2 linked regions of the Arabidopsis thaliana genome follow. The protein of the gene in region 1 interacts with the protein of each later gene in a pairwise test. Each region holds a gene or a part of one and is shown in the gene's direction. Other genes may lie near its edges.

Region 1 (6,439 bases):
TATGCAGCGCGCCGCTTTTTTTTTTGCTCTCACTGGATCTTTGTCTTTGGACTCTTTACAAACTAAAATAATGATTGGAAGAGTTTTTTTAATTTTTTTTTTTTTTTTTTTTTTGGATTTTCGTATGATAAAAATCTGGCTTTTAAAAAACACACTTTTATGAAAACTAATTTCCTTAATTTTGATTGGATGTTTAGTGAGTTTTTTTGAAATAACAAAAACCAGCTCATTGAAAATTACTCCCATTCCAAGCTTTAATGATGCTGAAATTAAGTTATAGTTTTGAATGGTATAGAAATGGAAATAGAAAACAAGACCAAAAGAGAGATTAAAGGTTTTTGAGGTAATATGCAAGGACAGTTCATAGTTTATTTGGGCCTTTACAAACAAAACATGGGCCTATGTTAATGCATAATATGATAAGACTAAGGCCCATGTCTTCCTACCTATTCACCTACATGGCCAAACCCAGTCGATAAGTTTGTGACGGAACCACAATCATGACACTCGTCCTTATTTGCTCAACTACGGTTAAAAAAAACTTGATAAATGGGTAACAACACACTTCACGAAGAAACTTAAAAATCAGTCTAACGAGGTTTTCACTAATAAAAAGTTTTTGTTTCTTTCCCTAACGACTTTACCAAACAAAGAAAGGCAAACTTAACTTTGCCAAAATTACTAAAATCACTGTCGCACAACAAAAGTCTCCTCTTTGTTTTTTTCTTTTCAAAATCTCCTTATATATCAGAGTTGATAGAGCATTTATTAAATCAGTATGTGTGATTTATTCTATATTCTGCATAAATATGTAATATTTTTAGCATCTTTTTTTTTTTTTTTTTCTCATAAGTGTAATATTTTATTCATTTTATCATTACCAGTACAATGCTTGGTTATGAGAAAACCAAAATAAAGCCCAAGACATCCCACATATAAAGGCTCATACGACACAAAAGAAGAGATAAGCTATAGACGTGTCAGACCAATAATAATAAGCTAGGGACACGTGGAACGTCCACAACCTTCACTAGTCCTGGACAAAATATTCGTTCGATCCGCTTTAACTCAATATTCGATTTGATTTGATTCGAAAAATCCGAATATTCGTAAGATTTTGGAGCAAAGCAAATAGAAAAATGTAGTAATCGTAAAAACCGAAGCAAATAACAAATACTATTTTTTCTAAAGTCGGATATTCGCTTCGATCTATATATATATATATATATATATATCACAATATAGGTTGTGCATTTGTATATGTTGGGATTTGGGCTTGTATTTGTATCCTTTGGGCCTGTGTTTTTTTTGTGACACAGTTTTTATTAGAGAAGTGGAATTTTTTAAAATAAAATTGTTTTATTTTTTATATTTTATCCTAAAATTGTCGTTTTACTTTCCAATCCATCAAATATAAGAGCGACATTTCTGTTTCCTTTCTTCGACCTTTCACTATTTTTATCACTCAATTTGGTTACAGAATTTATAACCAGAAAATTTTCAGTTGCTCTCAATCTCACACTCGTAAGTCATAAGGTAAGAAATTTGAAATCTATGTTAAATAATTTATATAAAAAAATATTTGGATGTAGCAAAGCAAAGCGGATATCCGACAAATATCATACAAAAATCCGGATATTCGTATTTTCGGATATTTGGAAATTTTCGGATCAAAGCAAATAATAAAATTAAGTATTCGATTAAAACGAATCGAATAACAAATATCCCAAATTTTCCGGATATTCGCTTCGTGCCCAGGCCTAACCTCCACTGCACATGAGACTCAAGCCTGGTGAATCAGAAACGTCGTTGGAAAATCACCGGTCAACGAGACTTCTTTTTTATCACCAATTAAAAGTTACAGAACAAACATCAATCTCCTAATCTCATCCGATTGCAAGAATCACAAAGGATTCGGCAAAAATGGGTAAAAGAAATTAGAGAAAACTGAGTAGTTCAAACTTGTCTAACAATTAAATCTCTTGCAAGAACAACAAAGGCATATCTTAATTGCATAGGAAACGAGCTTTGACCTAACCTTAGTCGTGGAGAAATTGAAACTGTCTTAAACACAGTAGATCCAAACGAACCTAATTGTCGAGAACGCACACATCGCCGGAAAACTGTTGGAGCCAAAAAAAACAGAACCCAACGGTGAAGCCAATCAAAGCAGAAAGAAACTAAATCATGCGAAGAGAACACCTCTTCGGAACTGAAGATTCTGCCTGTCATAATGTTTCATCATCAAGATTTTAAAGCTACAAAACAAAAACAAATCCGAAGAAACCGAATTCAAAATTGCCCAAAAAGAAATCTAAATCCCGATCAACGGGAGATAATAGCCGGAAAAAATCCAGATAACGGAAACCGGAAGAAACCCGGACGGCGATTCTAAACTTACATCGGAAAAATCTTTCTCTGAAAAATACTATAGAGAGAAGAGAGAGACCTTCCTCCTTTTAGATCTTTCTTTAATTAAAAATTTAATTTTTATATTTTTAGCATCTAATCAGCCTCAAAAATATAAAATATCTTAGATTTTTCTCGAATAATAATAACGAATATATATATAATTCGAGCTCCACTTGCTCCAAATTTAAAATCATTGACGCTGAGGAGTGTCAAAACGCTTGACAAATGATCACACGTGTAAGCCTATGAGTGGTGGTCGATTTGACTGATGCACTATCAACACATACCTAAAGATATAGAGAGAGAAACGCATATCGTTGACTCTCCCCCTTTTTCACTCTCTTCATTTATTCTTCCCCTCATCATCATCATCATCTTCTTCTTTAACCAAAAACACAACTTACAAGAAAACTGTTGAATCTTTGTATTTATTTACATCTCCTTTGACCTTTAATAAGAATCTGAGTGGTTGGTCTCTGATTTGATGAGATGACTGTTGAGCTGATGATGAGCAGCTACAGCGGCGGCGGAGGAGGAGGTGATGGTTTTCCTGCAATCGCCGCGGCGGCGAAAATGGAAGATACCGCTTTGAGAGAAGCTGCTTCTGCAGGGATTCACGGTGTGGAGGAGTTTCTTAAACTGATCGGTCAAAGTCAACAACCAACGGAGAAGAGTCAGACGGAGATAACCGCGGTGACTGACGTCGCCGTTAACAGCTTCAAGAAGGTCATTTCTCTACTCGGTAGATCTAGAACCGGACACGCTAGATTCAGACGAGCTCCCGCGTCAACGCAAACGCCGTTTAAGCAAACGCCGGTGGTTGAGGAGGAGGTGGAGGTGGAGGAGAAGAAGCCAGAAACAAGCTCCGTGTTAACAAAACAGAAAACAGAGCAATATCACGGTGGTGGATCTGCGTTTAGAGTTTATTGTCCAACACCAATTCATCGTCGTCCTCCTCTATCACACAATAACAACAACAATCAGAATCAAACAAAGAACGGTTCGTCTTCTTCATCTCCTCCGATGCTCGCAAACGGAGCACCGTCAACGATAAACTTTGCGCCGTCACCACCAGTCTCAGCGACGAACTCATTCATGTCTTCTCATAGATGTGACACCGATAGTACTCACATGTCATCAGGATTCGAGTTCACTAACCCATCTCAGCTCTCTGGTTCGAGAGGTAAACCTCCTTTATCATCAGCTTCGTTGAAGAGAAGATGTAATTCATCTCCCTCAAGCCGTTGCCATTGCTCCAAGAAAAGGTTTTGATTCAACTTCTATTATTAAAAATTAATCTTATTTTAGATCTAAATCTTGAGATTTGATTAATAAAACGTTAATTATAATTTGTGTAAAAAAATCAGGAAATCAAGAGTAAAAAGAGTGATTAGAGTTCCAGCAGTAAGTAGCAAAATGGCTGATATACCATCAGATGAGTTTTCATGGAGAAAATATGGTCAAAAACCAATCAAAGGCTCTCCTCATCCTCGGTAATTATTTTTTACATTTTTTACCATCGATATATATACTCTACACATACATCACAATCACTCACTAGATTCAACACCAAAAATCAAATATTGGCTAGAAAATTAAGCAACTTGTGTATTGTCAATATTAGTACCAGAGAGATTGTCAATATTGTTTTTTTCTATATCGGTTGTACCAAACATGTTGTCTAGTAGTACAGTAGTGGGTTCAGTTTCACGCTCTTTTTGACTTGTTGTTTCCTATAGAATAAATTTGAAATAGAAAGCCGAGAGTTAAGTTGACTATTTCTTTTCTCATTAATTAATAAGAACTCGAACTAACTGGGGAGGACTCGGTGTAATGGTTATGACAGGGGATATTACAAGTGCAGCAGTGTAAGAGGTTGTCCGGCGCGTAAGCATGTGGAGCGTGCACTAGATGATGCGATGATGCTAATCGTGACGTACGAAGGAGACCACAACCATGCTTTGGTTCTCGAGACGACGACGATGAATCATGACAAAACTCTTTAGTTTCTCGAGTTTGAGGGGAACTGTCTGTGTGTGACCACTATCCAGATTAGTCAACGACAGAGTGGGCCCGCACTGCACTTTTTTATTCTTTTCTTTTTGAAAAGCTTTTGCTTTATCTTTCTTTTTGATTGGAGGAAATAGAGGGAGGGGAGATAAAGACGAGAGAGGAACGTTGTGGATCTTGATGGAAGTTGAATCATGTGAATGTCCTTTTCTGTTTATTTATTTCTAGGATAATATATATTTAGTGCACTATTTTTGTCAAATCTCTGATTCTTTTCTTACTTGCAGAACTATTTGAGTTTTTAGGGAAATTATCAGTTAATTTAGATTCAACTGACCATAATGCTATGCTGGTAATTGGAAAAAATTGCAATTCAAATTTCGTTAAACAAAAAAAAAAAGAACTATTTGTAGATTACATAGTCAAATCAACTTAACACACGTTTATAGAAACTAGAAAAGTTGTCGATCAAATAATAAGTAGCTCTAATAAGTATTTATTTCAGCATTAGTGAAAAACCTCAGATGCAATGTCGTTATCCTTTTAAGTGTGTTTTTTCCAACAAAGTTGACAATGTTTATGATTATGTTAACGGCTATAAATTCAAGTGTAAAGTACTTCAACATTTAGTAAAAAATTTAAAGCTTTACTACAAAATTTTGTTACCAAGAAAATCAGCTATTCATGCATCATTGCGTTATAACTCTTCAATATCACTTTTAAGTGATGTTTTAGAGACTTTTTTTAAAAAGATGTTTTAAAATTTTTTAGACCAATCATATTTTAGAGTATGTTATCTAATTAGTTAAAATTTGTTTAATTGTATTATATGTAAAAGAGGTAGGATTAAAGTGATACACAAATTATGTGTTTTCTTAATTTGTGTATAAAACCTTTAAACATCACTTAAAGTGATACAAAAAGAGTATTTTACAACATATCCATTAATAGAATTTAAAAAGTCATTCACTTAGTCAAAAAAAAAAAAAAGCATTCCATATTTTTTATTTTATTTTAGAGATTAGTAAAAGAAAACGTTCAAATGCAATGTTATTTAGTATTTTTCTCCCTTACAAAGTTAACGACCTTTTTAGAAATTCTATAACGTCTACAAATCGTTTTAAGTATTAAATTGAAAAATGACAATGAGTTCGAGTAATTTGTTATTGTTAAAATATAAAATTTATCTTATTTAAAAGCAATTCTAAAGTTCTTCTCTTTAGAAGATGGGATAAATTTATCTTATCAACAAAAAAAGGTACTTATATAAAAATTTAAATTTGCCACTCTGAAAAATTAAGCTACATCCGATAACATCATTGAAAATTTAAACGTTGTGAAAGTAAATAACATAGAAGCTTTTTAATTATATATCAATCCATGTATCATCGAAGCTTTCTTATAAAAAGTAACAAGTCAACTTAATCTAGTAGCCTCAAAAGTAGAAAGGAACGTTGGCGTCAATGTCATAGATGCACACAATCCTCTGATGAGAGCTCTAAATGTGAAATAATAAAGGGATAGCCTTATTGGATTACGACACAAATTGCAACTTAATTAAGGGTTTTCACTTTGGACATTATAAGATTCAGGAGTTGTAGGTTGCATCTCTATCCTATGAGCCTCGCTCGTGGATTCGCCTCTGTTCCTCGTATCTTCTAACCATCCTTCCAGTGTGGACTGTACTACATTGTCGAATATCCCTTTCTTGAATTTGCTACCCATCTTTTAAAAACCGAGCAAAACAACAACAACAATTGATTCAAATTTGTTGTGAATTGGTGTAAACATGTGAATATATATGTGTCACTTACTTGTGTAACAAGGGCATATAGTGGTAATGTGCTGTAACTGCAAAGCACTTGGACTAACACTCTGTATGAACAAAGATCGAACCAAAAATATTAATTAGACCTTTTGAAGGTTGATATTTAGATTTAAAAGAGTTCATATATTACCCCATGACGAGTCTTGGGATAAGGTAGCCTAGTTTCTCCATGATACATGAATGTATTCC
Region 2 (5,323 bases), on another chromosome or scaffold:
GCAAAACTCTCTTACAACTTAATGATTTGTAAAAGGACGAGACATTATCATTAAATCTTGAAACTAAAAAACTATGAGTGCCTTGAAAATCTGAGAATCACTGTTTTTCTTTTGAATTTCATTTCTATGTACATATGGTGAAATCTCAATTCTCCAATTTTCTTTTAGTATTGTTTTTATACTTTCACAAATAGGATTTAATTTACTTAGAATTGACTCTATTTTTTTCTTGTTTTTACTATCTATGTTCGCTTTCCAGAATTTTATACGTTATTCAAAGAAAATACTTGACCAAATACATGTAATAACATATTGGTTATCTAGAAACAAAAGACGAGTACAAGATACAAAAAAAAAAAACAAAGGGGACAAAGAATGGTGTGGAGAAAAAAGTTTGAAGAAGAAAGAAAAAAAAGTGAGGAAATTGTGATGATAATGGTAGGGGTGGTGGGGAACATATCTCTTCTTTATCAGTTTCCCTTTTTTTTTTTCTCTCTCAAAAATCATGTTTGGAGTTTCTTTTGGTTCAAGCTAAATCTTTTTCTCTTCTTCTTTCTAATAGTATCTATTTGTTTCTTCAAACCAAACGATATCTACGCAATACATGTCGGTTATTGTGATAACGACATTGTTTGGATGTTTCGGGTTCAAAAGATTTGTATGAATGTGTATACTATATATGTTTTTGGCTCAATGATAAAGACACTTGATAAGAGATTCAGGATCGTTTCAAATTATTTTAAAAAACTATATATAATATGAAAAACACTTTAATACTTAAGAATACTATTTGTAATCCGTAAAACTTTAAGTTCTAAAACCATTAATTAAAAATAAGAAACAAGTTACGTTGTACATATAAACTAAAAGACGGAATGGAATATGATTTGATTGTAAAAATAACTTTGGACAAAATCTTCCAATTATAAAAGAGAGAACAAAGAGTTCTAATCATATTGATTGGTAGGTCATGAAGAAGCTTAAGGAGTGATTGTAGAAGAGTGGAAGTGGAGGCGACAAAGTGAGGAGACACGTGGAAAAAGGCACGTGACGTGGGGAACGTGAAATGTTGTCGATAGTGTTTACTGTCTCGTGCTTGCAAAACTATATGTATGTTTTGGAGTGTGAGAATTGTGACGTATCCTCAGTCCTTAGTCCATAGGCGAAGCATCTCTCATTAGCTCCTCTCTTTAAGGTTACGCATTCATTACTCATGCTTCCCTTCTCTCATTTTCTTTCTTTTTCTATATTCCCCTCTATTTGTTTCTTCGCTTCTAATTTATTACATGTAACGTACAAAACCAAGAAGCATGCACTTTTTTCTGGTGACCAAAGTTTAATATATCAACCGAATTGACTATACCACATACATGTTTCTATCTAAATCCAATGAATATTACACAAATAGAATCTTGGTGTGCCAACCAAAGAGAAGCATTTATTAAAGTCACTATTTTGAATACTAACGACGGATAAGACTAAGATCACCAATATGATGTGTTTTGGTCTCTGCCATGAAAAGATACAGAAATTCTGATTAAGATTTGTGGGAGATTAGCACCACTTGATTCACTTTGATTGCTACACATAAAAGGTTGGTAAATTGGTTTAGTATTGGAAAAATATAGTAGTGGTTGGACTTGACTATAGATGCTTCATGATAAGATAAATTAAAAGGAACAATCAAATTAGTAGAGGAGTGTAATTACTAACAGCGACGTGGATTAAAATCATGGAAAGCTCAAACTCTTGTCATGCTTAGATACAATGGAGTCCACGTAGACTATTTTCAATATTTTTTGTCATAATTAAAGAACATTATTAGAGAGTTAATGACGTACATGAGACGTGTTTAGCAGTTGATATTCAATTTAAAAAACATTTTGACATACTTTAATGCTAAAACAAAAACATTTTTTTTGCTTAAAGTGTCTCGCGGTTATAAAAAAAACCTTAATTATGGAAGTGTTGTTTGTCGAACCCACGAATGCATCAATGCGCGTCACGATAGTCTCATGCATTGAACTTGATTTTACTAAGACGGATAATGAAGTAAACTATGTATTGTACATTGGTCTACATTTATTTAAGAAAACATGTTCTTATCCGGTTTAGAACTATCTTGTCTACGTTCATATGATTCCTTAAATCTAAGCCTAAACTTTTTAAACTAAATCAGTCACAGTTTCTTATTCATTTATAGTGTTTTAACAAAATAATTCAGTTAATTCTAAAATCCAACCCTAATTATTTTATAAGAAATCAAACAATCTTTTTTCTTTTTTTTTTTGTTAAACGAAAGGTAGTACTAGGAGTCGAGTATATTTACATTGAAACAAACAAAATTTAATTAGAACACACCCAGCAAAAAAATCCGAGCACAAAGTCAAAACCAACACTTTGACCAAGTGTCTGCATGACACGTGTATTTGTCTGCTACATGGACAACATCTTTAACAACACTGTCTCATCATTCCACCATTTTCTTTAATTAAAAAAAAAACATATCAGAAAGACCATTCCAATATTATTACTTCTTCCTTTTAAGCTCTAACAATTAAATAAAAATTTCCATTCTCTATATATAATACACACACGTTCAAATCATTAATCACCTGTTTTAGATAAAATCATAGAGAGAGAGAAATAGTAAAAGAAATAAAAAAAAATGGGAAGAGGGAGAAGCTCATCGTCTTCATCGATAGAGAGCAGCTGCAAAAGCAACCCATTTGGTGTGTCTTCGAGTAATACTCGGAACCTAAGCACGGACCTGAGACTCGGGCTCAGCTTCGGATCATCTTCCGGACAATATTACAACGGTGGAGATAACCATGAATATGATGGAGTCGGTGCGGCAGAGGAAATGATGATCATGGAAGAAGAAGAGCAAAACGAGTGTAATAGTGTCGGAAGCTTCTACGTGAAAGTGAACATGGAAGGAGTTCCTATTGGGAGAAAGATCGATCTTTTATCTCTTAATGGATATCATGATTTGATCACAACTCTCGACTACATGTTCAATGCTTCAATCCTTTGTAAGTATCTACACACACTTAATTACATCTTTGCATGTAGACTTAGTTAATATTTATATTTGTTATACCTCTCTTTGCATGTATATAGTTAAGACCAAAACTAATGGCAATAAAAAAATTGTGAAAATAGGGGCTGAAGAAGAAGATATGTGTAGTGAGAAGAGTCACGTGCTAACGTACGCAGACAAAGAAGGTGACTGGATGATGGTTGGAGATGTTCCTTGGGAGTAAGTTCTTTTTTAATTTTAGTGTATTAAAAATCTCTAGTTAAGTATTTTTTTTGACATAATTATGTAAAAATTCCCTTTAATTAATGGGGACTTAATTGATTATGTAGGATGTTCTTGTCTAGCGTGAGAAGACTAAAGATCTCAAGAGCTTATCACTACTGATTTTCTAAAAGCAAACTTGGAAGAATCTAGGATTGACCAATACAGTCAGTGGTGGTGGGGGAAAAAGTTAGTTTTGTCTGAATGTAAATCACTTGTTCGAGATTTTATTCAAATTTTGTTTCTAGTTTTATTACATTTATAAAAAAATCGGTTGTAACTTGTAATGAAGCTATTTTTTTCAAGAAAAAAAGCTGTAGCTAATGCAGATCCTTTTTGGTTTAGTAGTTATTTTTATGGTTTTAGACATAGATTAGATAATACTAGAAATATGAATTGTTTTGGAACACTGCTGAATTAGGTTCATATTCGTATTCTAGTTTTCACAAAGTTTCAGTTGAGTTACTAGTTTAACCAAATCAAGATCTATTTCATATTTTCATACTATCATTTACTTCTCAATTCAACTATTTTACCGGAATAAACAGTGAAATATAGTTGTTCTAGTTATGGAATCTGAAATTGAAAAATAATTGTCAAAAAATTTCAACAGACTCTGTCGGAGATATTACAATTGTTCCGCTCACCAAAAGCATTAAAGCCCATACAAGGAAAACAAAAACAAAAACTCTTAAGCCACTCTGATTATTTTCCTCACTGCACACAAATTTACACGAAAACAACAAAAGATGAAAGAAAGCATCATTTTTCAAAATCGAAGAGGTTTCTTCAGAATCAAGCAAACTGTGTTTCCCCTTTGATGTTCAAAACTTCACAGTAACTTACCAAGAAAGTAACCATGGTGATCTACTTAAACCACTTGATATCTCCATATTATTTTCCGATAACCCGAAACAATCAGATCCATGTTCCGGGAATATACTCTCTTTCAAAGAATCACAAGTAATTTCCGGCGAAACCCACTGTGAATAACCTCTCACATTCGAGCATTCCCATGGTGATTTCTTCGAATTCTTCTTCACTCTAAGAGTAACATTAAGGAAACATATATTCTTAAACACATCTCCTTCTATACCTTCAAGAAGACCCGCAACACCTATTCCATCGCCATTTACATTCTCAAAGGTGATTTTCTCTATAGCTGGGAGTGCTTTGGGATCGTATTTCTCATCAGGATGTTCACCGTACTTACCGGTGAACCTAATCGCTTTCTTTACATTATCGAGCTTCACGTTCAAGATGTGAACGTTTCTAACATACCCGCCTCTTCCAGCAGAAGTCTTGATTCTGATTCCAGTATTCGAATTGAACAAATGTAAGTCTTTAATGTATATTTCGGATACACCTCCCGACATTTCACTTCCTATTGCTATTCCTGAGCTTGAAGTAGTTTGACCTGTTAACCGATTAATCTTGATCTTGGAGCTCGGTCTTGCGTAGGATATTCCATACTCATCCCATCCGCTTTTTATCGATACCAAATCATCCCCGGTAACTATGTAACAATCCTCTATGCAAACATTAGTTGATGAATCTGCAAACAGAACAATTTCCAAAGATAATAATAAGGTACATATCTTGAATCTACGAGTAAAATTTGCAAGGAAACTCACCTGGATCAACTCCATCTGTATTTGGAGATTCAAGAGGAGCCAAAATTGTGAGATTCTTTACAACAACATCTCTGTTCAGACAAAAACTCCATATCAGAACATTGAAGAGAGAAATTTGGTGGATATCAAAATCAAATCATGATTAAGTTATTATGACCTGCAATAAACAGGATGAATGTTCCAAAACGGTGAATTCAAGAATGTGAGGTTGGAGATGATCAGACCAGTAGAGTTCATGAGCTCAACAAGATGAGGTCTTGTATAGTTAAGCTCTCCATTTCTAAACCAATCCCACCATACAGTTCCTTGACCATCAATTGTCCCGTTCTCGCCTAAAATGTTGATATCATCAGACAGCATATCTAAAACTAGCATCATCAGTTCA

What was found. The genes of interacting proteins can lie anywhere in the genome.
Region 2: the proteins of WRKY7 (region 1) and IAA30 interact in binary tests that used the Arabidopsis thaliana proteins (3 or more experiments, as listed by UniProt).

What each region holds. Positions count from the first base shown.
Region 1 is NC_003075.7:12,569,029-12,575,467, forward strand, and holds WRKY7 (WRKY DNA-binding protein 7), read left to right. Parts: upstream 1-2,509; 5' UTR 2,510-2,901; coding exon 2,902-3,677; intron 3,678-3,779; coding exon 3,780-3,905; coding exon of another isoform or gene 3,906-3,909; exon of another isoform or gene 3,910-4,258; coding exon 4,259-4,418; 3' UTR 4,419-4,745; downstream 4,746-6,439. Other genes in the region: MLO13 (Seven transmembrane MLO family protein), read right to left, coding at 5,980-6,147, 6,237-6,297, 6,381-6,439. UniProt on the Arabidopsis thaliana protein: Transcription factor. Interacts specifically with the W box (5'-(T)TGAC[CT]-3'), a frequently occurring elicitor-responsive cis-acting element.
Region 2 is NC_003074.8:22,993,167-22,998,489, forward strand, and holds IAA30 (indole-3-acetic acid inducible 30), read left to right. Parts: upstream 1-2,519; 5' UTR 2,520-2,668; coding exon 2,669-3,035; intron 3,036-3,165; coding exon 3,166-3,262; coding exon of another isoform or gene 3,263-3,266; exon of another isoform or gene 3,267-3,372; coding exon 3,373-3,427; 3' UTR 3,428-3,643; downstream 3,644-5,323. Other genes in the region: AT3G62110 (Pectin lyase-like superfamily protein), read right to left, coding at 4,147-4,859, 4,939-5,009, 5,096-5,270. UniProt on the Arabidopsis thaliana protein: Aux/IAA proteins are short-lived transcriptional factors that function as repressors of early auxin response genes at low auxin concentrations.